3 linked regions of the Arabidopsis thaliana genome follow. The protein of the gene in region 2 interacts with the protein of the main gene of each other region in a pairwise test. Each region holds a gene or a part of one and is shown on either strand. Other genes may lie near its edges.

What was found. Proteins that work in one complex are often made in the same cells at the same time.
Region 1: the proteins of AT4G01090 (region 2) and AT5G11090 interact in a two-hybrid assay, tested with the Arabidopsis thaliana proteins (one large-scale study listed by BioGRID).
Region 3: the proteins of AT4G01090 (region 2) and AT5G05190 interact in a two-hybrid assay, tested with the Arabidopsis thaliana proteins (one large-scale study listed by BioGRID).

Annotation. Positions count from the first base shown.
Region 1 is NC_003076.8:3,522,694-3,526,388, reverse strand, and holds AT5G11090 (serine-rich protein-like protein), read right to left. Parts: upstream 1,713-3,695; 5' UTR 1,594-1,712; coding exon 940-1,593; 3' UTR 543-939; downstream 1-542.
Region 2 is NC_003075.7:469,994-475,907, forward strand, and holds AT4G01090 (hypothetical protein (DUF3133)), read right to left. Parts: upstream 3,887-5,914; 5' UTR 3,408-3,886; intron 3,295-3,407; 5' UTR 3,256-3,294; coding exon 1,454-3,255; intron 1,367-1,453; coding exon 1,306-1,366; intron 1,213-1,305; coding exon 989-1,212; intron 899-988; coding exon 841-898; 3' UTR 513-840; downstream 1-512.
Region 3 is NC_003076.8:1,539,469-1,544,679, forward strand, and holds AT5G05190 (hypothetical protein (DUF3133)), read left to right. Parts: upstream 1-1,749; 5' UTR 1,750-2,384; coding exon 2,385-2,505; intron 2,506-2,680; coding exon 2,681-4,407; 3' UTR 4,408-4,669; downstream 4,670-5,211. Other genes in the region: AT5G05200 (Protein kinase superfamily protein), read right to left, coding at 4,738-4,920, 5,059-5,175. UniProt on the Arabidopsis thaliana protein: Plays a negative role in salicylic acid (SA)-mediated resistance to powdery mildew (e.g. Golovinomyces cichoracearum). May modulate plant immunity by regulating the relocation of EDR1 by interacting with CHC2 and modulating endocytosis.

The DNA.
Region 1 (3,695 bases), on a different chromosome or scaffold from region 2:
AGTCATTTTTCTAATTGGGTCAGTCAGCTATCTCTTTTACCAAAACACTTTTTTTCCATTTCCCTCCTATGTAAATTTTGTCTTCAGTCATGTTTTTCCCTCCATAGATTTTTCGTTGTTTTTTTATATATGTCCAGAAAGTGAAGACCTTTTCCACCTCTTTTGTTTTTGTTTTTAATGTATTTTTCTACTAATTTATTTTGTTTTTCTCTCAATTCCATCTGAATTTTCATGTCCCTGTTAGTCAAGTAGTTCAAACTCCATCACCAAACGCAACCTGCAAAACAAAAACAAAATTCAAAATGTCCACGAAAATATAACTACAAAAAAATGTAAGTAACATAAAACGGAAAAAAAAAAAAAACGAATGGAACATACCTGACACGACGAATAACGCATACCTGGAAAACTAACGCAACGCTTCACGGTAGAAACGACGACGGATAATGGCAAACAACGCCGGTCAACGGAGTACACGAACGTTGACTTGACGGGACACGAAAAAAAAAACGCTAATCTGACAAACACATACACAATTGATTGTGAGGAATGAGAAATCTCACTTTGTTCAATACAGAAATTAGATTCAGTTCTTTGATTTTCGATTTTAGGTCTCTAATTTTTGGTGAGACTCCGAACATTTTTTTTTTTTTGGGGTTCGACAAAGACGCAAGAGAGAGCAACAAAAACAGTAAAAAAGAGAACGTATGTACAATGCATTCTAGCATCTTCTTTCACCCAACAACAAAAAAATTATGATAGGTGTGTGTTTCTTCCTTTTACAAAATCTCGATTTCTCGAGGATGATTCTTCTTCGCAGACCTCAGCTTCATAACAAGACTTCTTCGCCGGATCTACTAAATCCTGTGGTGGTTTTCGTTTAAAGAGAGAAGAACAACAAACAAAACAAACCTGAATTAACCAAAATCCAGATCAAAATCAATTCTCATCAGCTTTCGCCATGATTGAGAGTCGACTAGGACGTGGCTGATAAGCAGCTCGTCTTTTCAGATGATGCGAAGAAGGTCGAATCAAAGTAGTCAAAGCTCTTCTCACCCACTCTCCTTCAACACCACCAATTCTCACCAGCGAATTAGTCATCGCAGATCGACGCATATTCAATCCATTCGTTGTATACGAAGCTGTACCTTGACCATGTGGATTCGCTACGTTCTTATGTAGACTGCATCTGAAAGATCCTGGATGCGTCGTCGGAGAACACATACATCTCCTTGAGATCTTGTGATTATGGCTCGGTGGCTGATTCTTCGAAACGGAGATCGATTTGTTAGTCGGAGATATAGATCTGCTATCGAGAGAGTAACGAAACGACTGAGACATCGGTTGCGCTGTGTAGAGATTCACACGAGTCGGTGACGCAGATCGGTGGTGACTGTGATTGCTCTCGTGATGACGGTGATTGCTGAAAAAAGCTGACGACGGAGATGAAAAGCTAGAACTCGTTGATGAAGCGAAAGCTGATGAAGAAGATGACGGAACGGCTCTTGAGTAACCACCGCAAAATCGACCTGACGGTGATTGTGAACGAAGCACCGGTCCGTTTGACTTGGTTCGTGACGATGTAGTCACCATTTTTTTCTTCTATGAAAGTCAAATTTGTGAGAGAGGAAGAAGAAGAGAAGAACAAGGTTTTTTTTTTTTTTTTTTGATTAGCTGCTCTGTAGAAAGTGCCTAAGGGAGGTTGGTTCGGCAAACCTAGCGAGTCTCAGGAACCGAATTTATAGCAAAAGCTTGTTCAATGGCAATAAATGTAAATACGTTCAAAGACTTTGACCATTTTCGAAATTTAGGTATTTCTATGTCGGGTTAGTCAAATTTAACCATGGTTAATGAAACTTAACTATGGTTAGCAAAATAAATTACTAATTTGTTTTTCAATTTGAGGCGGTTTTGCCGTTTCGAAAAGAATCGGGTTCGGATCCAACGGCTGAGATGACAAATCAGAGGGAATGCTTTTGGGGGCAGTTAAAAAAGCTGCCACGTGTCATGACTAAGAAAGATGTCAGCTCTTAAGTAGGAGAGTACCCAGAGAAAGTTTAGATAATTACGTAAATTGCCATTGCCCGTTGTTTTGCCAAGAGCCGGATTTACATTTCCAATGGTTTTATTTTGTTTGTTTTATCGTCACAACCCAATGGTTCTGTAACGGTATTGATTCAGATTAATAAGATTATACAAAAGTTTAGCATCTAACAACATTTGTGTAAATTTAGGCTATCTAAAGAAGGCTTCGAATAAATCAGTCTTATGTATAGTGTATTCTAGAGTAAAACATTTTTGCCAACATAAAATAGTTTTAATAAATGTAAGAGAGTTCAATACTAATAAATTAGTGAGCTAAAATCACATATGTCAAACCATTCAAAAGTCTACCAAATAAATATGACTTTATATTGGGTTTATAAAATAATTTTAATAGCAATTTGAAGATTTGTGTCATATTTATTTGGTAGACTTTGAATAGTTTTATAAACATATTTTAAATAATTAAATTTGGTTTATAAAATAAATTTAATAGCAATTTGAAGATTTATGACTTTTAGTAATTTTAGATTTTGTAGTAGATATTAAAAGCTTACATTGATCAAATTTAGCACTCTATTGTTCTTGTTTTTTTTTTGTCTGAAACATGCCTTTGGTCTACGTATATAGTCTCTTAACATCAAATATTAATTACTAATTATTATTTTTTTATAATAAATATCAAAATTAGTTTTTTTTTTTTTTGGGTTCATCAATACTAGTTGCTAATACCCAACAACATCAATATAGAAATCTTATAACATGAAGGTAACATATAAAGTTACATCTATGATCTAACTGACACCATCATTAAAAGTACCTACGTTTGCTGGTTTGTTTCCTTTCAAGATGGTTTAATGCTAGAAGAAGAAATAACAGCTCACTACCAAATAAAAAAGGGCCAAAGAGAGAGGACTTGATATAGCTAGTTTTTTGGAAGGCAATGCCAATCGTTAATTCGTAACACTTTAAGAATTTCGTATTATGATCATAATTAGTCAAGAGTTACTCAACACGTAACACTTAACATATTTCAACAACTTTTCACCTTAAACCTACTGGTGAGTTAGCCAAACTCTTGAATGGGCTTAAAAGCAATGTAACAACAACAACGAATCTAGCATTTGGTATAAAGTTGTTACGGTGGAGGAGATCCATGCAACTGTGTTTCATATTAGACCTAAAGAGTCCCTACAAATTGATGGAACTACTGACTCGAACACTATTCTGATGTATTAGAACATTTATATGCTATCTTAAAGGTATAACAGCTTCTCTGCAGAAGGAATTTGGTGATGAACTCAACCATAGTAATAATATATGTCTTATTCCAATGCGTCCTTAACCGCAAAATACAAAATATGCTTAGACAGATTATTGCCAGTAATAGTTTTGGTGCAGAATATCAATTTTAAGAATTTGATGGATACATTTCAGAGAGTTCTTACCAACTAAACCTTTAAACACGGTTTCTACAGATATTAAACGTTTGACGGTCAGAAACGACCTATATTTTGTCTAATTTGATTAAATATTTAAGAGAGAATTATGATTGAGATTATTAATAAGGTCTGATCTACTCGTTTCACATTTTGTCTAAATTGGTCTTGACAGAATCCATATTTTGTGTGTAATTAATTCTTAGTAGCACC
Region 2 (5,914 bases):
TTTCTAAGAAATATTGAAACATGAAAACTAAACGAACGGACCACGAGGCCTGTTAAGAACAGATTCTCTTTCTTGTTTGATATTGATATTGATATTGGGCCCATGAGTAAGTTATAATCTGTTGTCTTGTATTTTAGGAAGGACCCACTTCAGAAACGTGCAAAAACTAGTCCATCAGCCAAGAGAGGAATTAGCAGACAATATGAACATTTTAGTGGAAAGAAAGATGAAACCGGATAACTAACCGATAGATAGATAATCCCAATCCATAATTCACCTAGAACTCGAGGAAAGGGCAAATCAAGCCTAGAAGCTAATCATGAAGAAAGAAAGATCAGCTAGGAGAACATTGTTTAATTGAATTGTTGAGTATGGTCGAATGACCTACATATATTGTTGCTGACATGAAAGAAACCTACAAACCAAAACCGGTTTAAATAAACGATTTAGTTAAACCAGAGATAATAAGGAATTAGGAGGAGTAAACCATGTTATCGATGAAGCTTCTGTTACAACTTACAAAAGAGCAATAAAAGAGATAAAAAAAAAAGTCATTAAGAGCAAACTAATATCATTCCATAAAAAAATGGAAATAATACAAAGCACAAACCTTGTACCGAGAGAACCCGGTTTGTATACAGTCTATAACCCCTAAACCGGTTCTGGTCGCAATAAAAAACATACAGACATTTCCCCAAAGATATTTTAAAAAGAATACCAAAAATCAAAATCAAGATGTAAAAAACACTTTACAGTTGTGTTTAACAAATAAATAATATGAAGATGGAAACAAGAAGCAGAATCATATTTTGGTTGTGTAGTTGTTACTAGGGGGAGTTTTCATGAAGCTAATGATCTTGGAACTCTCATACCAAATCCATGCTTCACTTTCTCAATCCTGTTTCAAGTTTAACACACTAAAACTTTAGAATCTTAGGTGATCTCAAAATCTCAAAAGAATAAAAATCATTTGTGTGAATCTGCTTACGTTGGGGCTAATTTGCCAAGGCTGTGAAGTTCTTCTCCTGAATCTTGATCAAGGATTCTTCCTGATATATCAACAATGTAAGAACGGTTCTTGTCTCTAGGCAGACCACGACCCACAAGTAACTCGAAATCTCTCTTGTGAAGCTCTCTTCCATTCACAAACACGTCTGTGTTTCCTGCAGCGCAGTTATCCAGCATTGGATGGCTAAACTCTTCAATAAATGGCTGCAACAACAACAAGTAAGTCAACCATTTCTTCATCAATTTGATGACACCATTCCAATAATCAACTTGAGAGAACAATGTGAAGGTACTTACAGGTATTATACCGAGACACGGTTTGCCCATCACTCCCCAGAACCCAGCTCGGTAATCATACCTGAATCAGAGACATGTATCAGAAACTGAGTAAAGGGAAAAACAAAAACAAGAGAGAAACAGTGGATGCTGAAGTTCATGGAAGTACCAATACTTTCCAGCTTGGATTGGTCCAGCTAATTTCTCAGCACTGCTAACAAGATCTTCTGGTATAAGATGTCCATTAACCCAAACCTCTAATGACTTCATCTGGTCTTCGTTTTGATCAGTAGAGGACCTCGTTGTGATCTCTGTCGAACCGTACTCACTACCCTTTCTGTTTGAGTACCTTGAATCTTCTGAGATCTCGGTGTTAGAGTATCCATTGTAAGAAACCTCTGTCTCTGTAGCTACTGATTCTGGTTTCAGCGAGTCCTGTGTCATGAAAGACTTTTGCTTATCTGGCTTTTCATAACCTAACTGCGCCATTCCATAAGCGAGTGCAGCTCTGTTTACATTAGAATACTCAAAAAGTTCAAGGAGACTGGCATTATCAGGAGCAGCGGGTTCAGGTGCTTTTGACCCTTTACCTCGCCGACGAACAGATTTGACCTCCTTCTGTTGTTGTTCACTAGAATTGCTCGATCTTTCTTCATCATCTGAGTGTTGAGATTCAGAGCGGACGCTTTGCGTAGTAATAGTATCCTGATGATTTCTCAGTTCTTGCACTGGTTCTTCTTCATCCTTACGTGGAATATCTCTACCTGAGCTGTTGAAATCAACAGAAGAGACTTCCTCCTCTATCACTACTGTGTTTGTTGTGTTTCTATCTTCAACCTCTAGAGAGACCGGTTTTGTTTCCTCATTACCAGAAGAGAAAACGAGTTTCCTATCAACGATTGTGAAACTAATAACTTCAGAACAAGCACCGCACTGCAGCTTATGTAACCTTTCCTGAGACAAAAGCTTCTTCTTAGGCAAGTAAAGCAGCTCAAAGCAACTATGACAAGCTATAAAAGGAGCACCACCAGCAAGAGGATGACAACGTCGAACACCAGTATCCGATACAGCTTTCTTAACATACCCACGAGCAAAAGCACCGCCCATTTCAGAATCATGTTCACTCGGCCACCTTGCATAACCACCTCGAGGACCTGGAGTGCCCATCGAAGAAGGAAAACTCGAACCGTTATTAACACGTGGACTATACGGTGTCGTGAGTTTCTCGCCACGATGGTGAGACGAAACCGGGCTATACGGAGGCATATCACTGTACTGTGTAGCGAGTTTCTCTTCACGATGGTGAGACGAAACCGGGCTATACGGAGGCAGGTCACCGTACCTACCAGGAGTAGCTGGATAGTAAGAATGTGGCTCAACTATATCAGGACCAAGTTCAACATATTGACCTCCAGGATACTGACGAGCCATCTGATTAGGGTAATGACCAGGAGGATACCAGTTTGGATTAGGAACTGGAGGTGGTCTTCTTTGGTACCCATAAGGATCTTGATAAGCTTGAGGATACATTCCATGAACCGGTCCAGGGTATTGAATAGGTTCTGGATACTGATGGTAATAAGAAGGACCAGGATTATGATTAGCATGACCATGAAGATGAACTGGTCTAAGGAAAGGCTGATTCTGATCTGGTTCTTTAGGTTTATCAACTACATTATTACCACCACCACCACCGCGAAGTAGATGATCTTTGATAGAATCTAACCTTCTTAAAAGCTCAGCTCGTTCATGCTCTGTATACTCAATAGGGTTGTTGCTGCTGCTTGTGTTCTTAGATGAAGAATCTGATCCGTAATTAGGCTCGTCATTTCTCAAGCTTTTTCCAGATCTTTGAGACCCAGCTCGCGAATTTGAGTGTTTCTCCTTCAGACTCGTTTCTTCTTCGCTTCTTGAAGAACCAGCATCTGATCTCGTACCTTCTGCTTCAGAGACATCGCCTCGCGACCTCATCAGCCACTATTTCTAGGGTTTTGCTTTGTTTTTTTCCAACTGCGATTCAAATCAAAAAAGTTTCGATTTTTTATCAAATTCGAACTCAAAAACATATATCTCCGATTGAATTCAGATAAAACGAAGAACCAACAGGTAGAAATCAAACGAACCGTGAAGAATGTCGTCGGCGATATAGGTGAGAAGACGAATTTGATGATCTTCTCCGGTGGGAATAAATGAACCAATCTCTATGATGCAACCAATTTTCTAAAAAGGGGTTTTTGGAAAGAAAATTCAGAAGAATTAAAAGTCTTCTTCAATTGCTTCTTGGGGGATTAAATGTCTGCTTACTTACTACCAAACTTGAGCTGGAAGGTTTAAGCAACAATTAACATTATTATGTTAATTTTCTTCTAGCGTTTTTCCTTGGCTTTCCCGGGAATCTTAAGGGAAAGACAAAAGAAAATTTGATGAATAGATTTGAAAACTTAAGGAGGGGAAGAAGATGGAAGCAAAAAATCAAACTTTGTTAGCGTTGATTTGATATTCGTTTTTTAAAACTTTTGAGTAAAGAAGAGATGAGCGCGTATGTAATGTAAGTAAGCGCGTGAAACTAGAATTTAGACTGTAGTACGGTTGAGCGGACCGGGTCTCGTTGACTCGCAGATAAGGAGACTAACCAAATTATTACTAAAATATACGAAATCTAGAAACATGAGTGTGACTGTTTACCGACAGGTAAATTAATACGTTCTCAGATATCGCAATTTTCCAAATTTGTGAACTTAATTACTAAGAACAATTCAATTACTCGGGAAAAAAACATTCAAATTTAGAACTTACGATTACTAGTAGTATTTGATTTTTCAATATATGCCAATAAGCAGCAATAGTTATTTTCTAAAACTAAGACGACTTCCTATTTTCGTACTTTTGTGAGTGTGTTTGTACGAAAACAGACCAGCTAGTCAAATGAAATTATACATTGAGCAACCTTTTTTATATCAATAATACTAGGTCTGGTCATTCGGGTATCCCTATCTGTTTGGTTCTTTTTTGGATATCAAATCTATTCGGATATGAAGAGGTTGAGAACCATTCAGATATTCTAAAAACTTGGTTCGATTTTGGTTCGGATTCGGATCGGTTCGGTTGTTTTAGTAAAAATATAAAAATAACCAAAAATATCAATAATATTTTCAGATATTATTATAATAACCAAAAATACCCAAATATTATTATAATACAATTAAAAAGTAAATAAAAATAGGAAAATATCACTTTATATGCTCAGAAGACTGAAAAATTAGGTGTAGGAATTGTGGACTATTTCAACAGTAAAAGAACTAATGAAGTTACTTTATTATTCTTCTGTATTTTTCTTTTTTTTAATTAAAGTCTCATATATTGTTTTGTTACTAAATATTTTCATTGTTATCATCAGGTTAACCTCGTTAACAATTATTAGTAAATATTATGTATAAATTATCCGTTACAGTAAACATTATTCATGTATCGAATATCTTAACGTTTTCATATAAATATTATTCTGTTATATAATATATTAGCATGTTATCATTCTATATATCATGTAGTTATAATTATTATCATGTTAATTATATAAAAAAGTCTAATTTCCTTTTATTGTGCTGAATATACATAAATAAAAAATTCTGATTTACAATTTTAAATCGATAAATATGTTTTAACAAATAATTTATAAACTTATCGCGATATCATAGTTTTTAAAACATTAAACAAATAATTATATACTTATCATCCGAATATTACAATTATTTTTATTCAATAGCATTTTTGTAATTAATTTTTTTAAAAAAAATTTTTTGGTTTATATATTATTTATCTTTCATACTTACCTAAATAACTAATATTTATATATAAATTCTTTATTTTTTCATCATCCTCCCAGCATATCGATTAATATAGTCCATAAAAATACGTCAAGTTTAATGCTTCCATGTTAGAAGACGTGCTCTCAAAACTTCTTCTTTTGTTTGTTTTCTAATTCACAACTTGAATCTAAAAGAAACCTGGATCCTAAACGTTGAAAAATATTAACCTCGTAAACGAAGACTTGAAAGATATATGGGGAGTGTTATATGATCACATAGTGTAGGTCGCCTTCTGACTATTTTTGTGGTTTATACAAAAAGCTACGTACAGCTGTAAAGTCTTCTACTCTGTGTCTCTGTCTATCATTTAAAGATGGATTTATAGATAGTCCACTTTCCAACACCAATCAGATTTGACAAAAATATTAACATTGCATTTTTGGGATAACTATCGTTGACTTTTTTACTACCTATTTTATCGGTTAGTTATTAGACTAAGGAAACACAGAGTTTAATTGACAGAACTTCTGAGCTGTTTAGGCCCGTAATTCTTTCCCTAATTGATAAAAGGGCCCTATTTGTTTAGGTGCATAACAGGCTTCATTATATGGGCTTAGAACGGCCCGATTTGTTTACATGAAGACTTTTACATTTTAATAATTTGAACTTGATCATGTAAGTGAGTATGAGTAATGAGCTGGTGAACTTTTTTTATGTGTGATCTACATAATTATCACATAGAATAATAGCCATAAGGCTTTCGGTATTTGATTCTTATCAACTGTGGTCCGACATCTACTTTTATACACACCCACTTGTTTTTT
Region 3 (5,211 bases), on a different chromosome or scaffold from region 2:
AGAATTTCAGGTGTAAAAGAATAGTTTTTTGCTTTGAGGTGTCTATCTTTATTTATAATCGGAAATTTTCAAGTAAAAAGAAATAGACTCTCCAAAGCATAGGTAGAATAATTGAATATTCTTATCAATTAAATCGTCTATAGTAGCCAATTATGATTGCAATCGTTGTGCGAATATAACCAGCATGGTATATATCACAAGTTTTTAGTTAGTGAATTTTTTAGTTATTTCAAGAGCTTGTTCTGTAGAATAAACCAAAAACTAAAAGAAAATCCATTCTATTCAATACCATAACTTCATGTGTTCACGAAACATCATGGGAACACAGTAAATAGAAAAACAAAATCAATTTATAACTATATATGAATGTTGTCAAATGGGAGTTGACCTCCAATATTATCTTTTATACATTTGAAACTTTAATTTTGACTTTTTTTTAGTAAGATAGTTTTTGTTCATGTCCTGAATGTTAGGTAACAGCTAGCGATTTGAAATAGAAATAAACATTTACAAACCATGTAGTGGTCCAAACCATTGACTCAATTAAAGAGTCAACGCATAATCGAATTTGTAATCTGTGAAGAAGAAGACTCGAATGGTATTGAACTTGATTTGATTTGATTCGTTTTGTGAATCGTATCCCGTTAGTCATTGGATTGTGCAGAGAAAACAAATATTGAAGCAACCTCTAATTAAGTCTACAAAGAAATAGGACACCACAACAAAGGTTGACTTTTACAGAATCACAAAGCCAAAACGATAATCTAGAAAGTAGAGAAACTAGACAGCACAAAACGATAAAAGACCGAGTCTGTCGACCATTACCTTAGTTTTTTTTCATATCGTTAAAAAATAATGTGATATACATGTACGTTAATACTTAATATATACTATTTGACTTGAGATAGCCCTACAAAACTTTTATTCATTTATTTCTCACAAGTTCCCTAAAACTTTATGAACCAATTTGAAGATTAATATTTTGTTACGTTGCTATCAATTTCAAATTCTTTGTAGGTGCTATATTTGAAAACTGGTTTCATACCTAAAAAGGTTATGAACCAAAGACTCAACTTGTCTGGTTATAAATAAAAGTGATTGAAAACACTCACACGGCTAGTGAATTCTCATTAGAAAAATGAAAAGTTCGTTAAATTCGACCAGTGATATAAATATATATACGAAAAACATATGATCATTATGCTTTTTGTCAGGTCCTAGAAATAAATATGTGGAACCCAATTCATTTCAACATTCACGGTAATTTAATTTCCCTTGGCAACATTTAGTCATTTACCGGAATATTCAAACTTCGAATGTTAGGAAATATTTAAGAAGGTAATGGTAAAAAGTAAGAAAAAAAGGACTGGGATCAATAAATGAGAAAAATGGAAGTAGTAGTGGGGCTAAAATTTCTCTATCCAAAATAAATGAAACAGGCGCCGACATTAACAACACCATTCCATTTATAACTCTTTATCCAAATTTTTATTTAGCTGAACCCAATTTACTCTTTCTCTTATCTTCCTCTACTTAATTCTTCTAACAAAGCTCTGTTGCAGATGCTTTCTTTAGAAAAAAATTGGGCCAATATTGTTTATTGAAAAGATCAACAACAGACTGGGTTTTGTTTAAGAAAGAATAGTGATTAGAGAACGAGTCGTTGATGTTCTAATTGACTTGCAAGAATGAAAAAAGATACCAAAAAATTCCTCAAAGAGATATTAAAAAGAAAAAACTTTTTAGACACGGAAAAAGAGAGACTTTTCTCAGAGGAAAAAAACAAGAAAAGAGAGAAACCATAGTAAAAAAAAAAAAAAAACTGTCTGTCCAACGATTTGTTTTTGTTTTTTTGTCTCTGTTCTCTCAATTCTTCTTCTTCTTCTTCTACTTCGCCCCCACGACAAGAAATTCTCCTCTCTATTTCTATCTCATTCTTTCTCTCTCTCTCTATAAAATCTTCAACTTCTGGGTTTATTCTTCCACAATCCCTCGAGTTATAATAACTCTCTGCAAAGAGTTTTACTTTGATTCTTCTGTGGAGGATCTTACACAATTTTCATGGCTTCTTGAATCATGTAATCTTTTCCTTCTCGCCATTTTTCATCTCTACCCGGATCCGTAACCAGCTCTCAGACCAGACCCGGGTTATACCATTTCTCCTCCTTAAAAGTCACACCGCGTTGACCTTCTTCCTCTGGTCTCCTCTCCCATTTTCTTTTAAAGAACTTCACAAAGTTTCAATCTTTTACTTTGGTTCCTCTCTCTCTCTCTGTTTATTAGGGTTCTGGGTTCTGTTGATGATGATTCTCTAACTAATGAGGTAGAGTTATAACCCAAAAATAACAAAAGTAGAGTTAAGTCTTTGAAATTTGGTACCAACAATGGCGAGCCAGACGGGTCAGAAAATTCGGTTGGTGAGGTGTCCCAAGTGCTTGAAGATTCTACAGGAAGACGAAGATGTTCCTGTTTATCAGTGCGGTGGTTGTTCCGCCATTCTTCAAGGTAACTTTCTTTCCATTTCGATTTTGCCTCTGATTATAATGTGAACTCTGTCCCTGAATCTGGCTTTGTTCTACTCCTGGTTGTCCATCTGTTTGGATGTCTGAGCTCAAACCAGTTGTGTTTTGTGGCATGATCTCTTTCATTATTAAATTTGGTTGTTGCTTCTTTGATTCAGCGAAAAGGCGGAACATTGCTCCAAGCAGTACACCAAGTGCAGGAGAGACAGAGAGGGCTCAAGCCAATGAGCCGCAAAGCGTACCTGAAACCAACAATGTGTCCAGCAGCTCGGGGCAGGACACGGTTCTGCCGTCATCTCCAGGTCGTTCCGTGGACCAAGAGTATGAGAAAGGTAGGAATGCATCCATGGAGTCTACGGAGAAGGAGCTTGATGACTTAGAGTTATCTAATGGAGATGGGACAAATGAAATTCAAGAGCAGGAATGTTCACTTGGTGATTCTGAGAAGAATGAAAGAGAAGACAACTCCAGATTGGAGTCTCATATGATGAACACCGTAGCAGAAGCTGCAGGATCTGGATCTAGCTCTGGAAGCTTGAGCGTTGATCATGTGGTGGCTGCAAGAGCGAGTAATCCATCCGGTAACTCTGAGATTTCACCGGATGCTTCCCCCGTAGAAGAGAAGCAAAGCCAACTTGACATTCTTGCAAACAAGACTCCTTCTGCTTATGATGTGGTGGCTGCAAGAGCGAGTAATTCATCTGGCAATGCTGAGATCTCACCTGATGCTTCCCCTGTTGAAGAGAAGCAAAGCCAACTTGATTATCCTGCAAACAAGACTTCTTCTGCTTATGATGGGAGTGAGTCTTCCTCTGACGAAAGGGAAGGCCAACTTCTCGATGATGACGAACAATGGAATGCTCTTCAGAAAATAAGATCAGGCAAATTTGAGATGCATAGATACCCTGGGTATAAGGAGCAAGGCGCTAGTTCCTCCTCCCCTTTCTCTGAGAATAGGCGCAATGGGATTACCACATACAACGAGCGGCATCAGAACAGGTCTCTACAGCTAGAGGGACCAGGAGGGCGCCTTGGCAGACAAGGGAGGAGACATGTGACAGAACAACTTCGGCCTGACATGCCTTTCTATCCGAGAGAATCATACACACGTGGAAGCCCTTCCCATCCGTCACATGATGAGTTTGATCGCTATCCCCGTGCACACTCACTTCAAATGCCTTCATACGCTGGAGGCATGAACCACGATTTTGTTGACTATATGTATCACAACAACCCAAGGGCAAGAGGTCAGGGCCAAGGAAGTAGGATCTCAGGTGAAATGGGAAGAAACCATGGCGGTTGGTATTCAGGTCAGCTTCATAATTCTTACAGTTCATATTCTGCAAGTCCACAGAGACCAATGGAACAACCTGAGTATCATCCGAGATGGAGGCGTGAGATAGTCTCAGACGTGGAGGATCATCAGCGTAATAGACATGCTGGCCACCACCATGAGTTACAGACCCGTCGTCTAAGAGAGAGACAACGTGTGGCCAAGCGTCATGTCCGTCCAACAGCTGGTGGGGCACCTTTTGTTAGCTGTTACAGTTGCTCAGAAAACCTGCAGCTTCCTGTAGACTTTCTCATTTTCAAGAGGAAACATCATCTTCTCAGATGCGGCACTTGCACCACTGTTCTCAGATTCTCACTTCAGTCCAGAAATCATTTAGTTCCTGCAGTAACACATGACATAAATGCTAATAGGAATAGCAATTCAACATCAGAGTCTCCCATAGACAAAGCTCCCTCCAAACCTGAAAAGCTGAGATCCTCTGTTCAGGATGAGGAGCTACCTGTGGCTAGAGGCTCTCCGCTTCACCGACTAATGGGATATTCTACTGTAAGCCAAGTCTTTAAAGTTTCACAGCGTCCTCCTTCTATATAGATCTCTGCTTCAGATGAAGCAACGAGAACTATGAACTTCTGAGAATCTGAGATGGAAAGTTTTGCCATTGTTTGCCATTCTTTATTTCACTTCTGTGTATAGGTAAAAGATTTGTCTCTGCACTTTTGTTTAAAGTAGAAACCATGACACTTGTGAAAAATTATACAAAAAAATAGAAGAAGATATAGTTCATCTGTTGTATATAGTCATGATATGTTTGTAACAAGATTGAATTCATCATCGTTCTTGGCTTGATAATCTACTATAACATTACCACTTGTAAATAAATAAAAAGTTTGAATAGGTTTAGTGAAGTATATTTGCATAAACTTAGTTGAAGCTGTCCTTGTATCCATTCGTCCTCTTGTTGGACGCGATAGAGATCCGCTGATCCTGCAGCATGTTCAGGTTTGGGGCTAATAGTCTTGTGTATCGATCGAAGTACAGAAGTTGCTTCAACAGAAGTGCAAACTCTCTCGGGAACTTAAGACCATATGATTCGCTAACACGCACCTATAAGAAAGTGAACTTATTTTCAACTGCTGAAAGCTCAAATCCTGGGGTTTATCTTAACTCAATGCAACTTCTATATCCTCTTAACAACTTTCAAACCAAAAAAAAATCCTTAAGAAATTACGTCTAACTGCTTACCAGGTCGAGGAAAAGAGCATTCATCTGTCTCTCATCCATAACTACGTTAGCAGCAACAGCAGTAGTGTCTGAATTTGTTCCACGAGCTGTAGCCACTACTATCTCTGTATCTAGTTCCTGCAAGAAGAGATTCACTTTTCTCTATAAGATTAG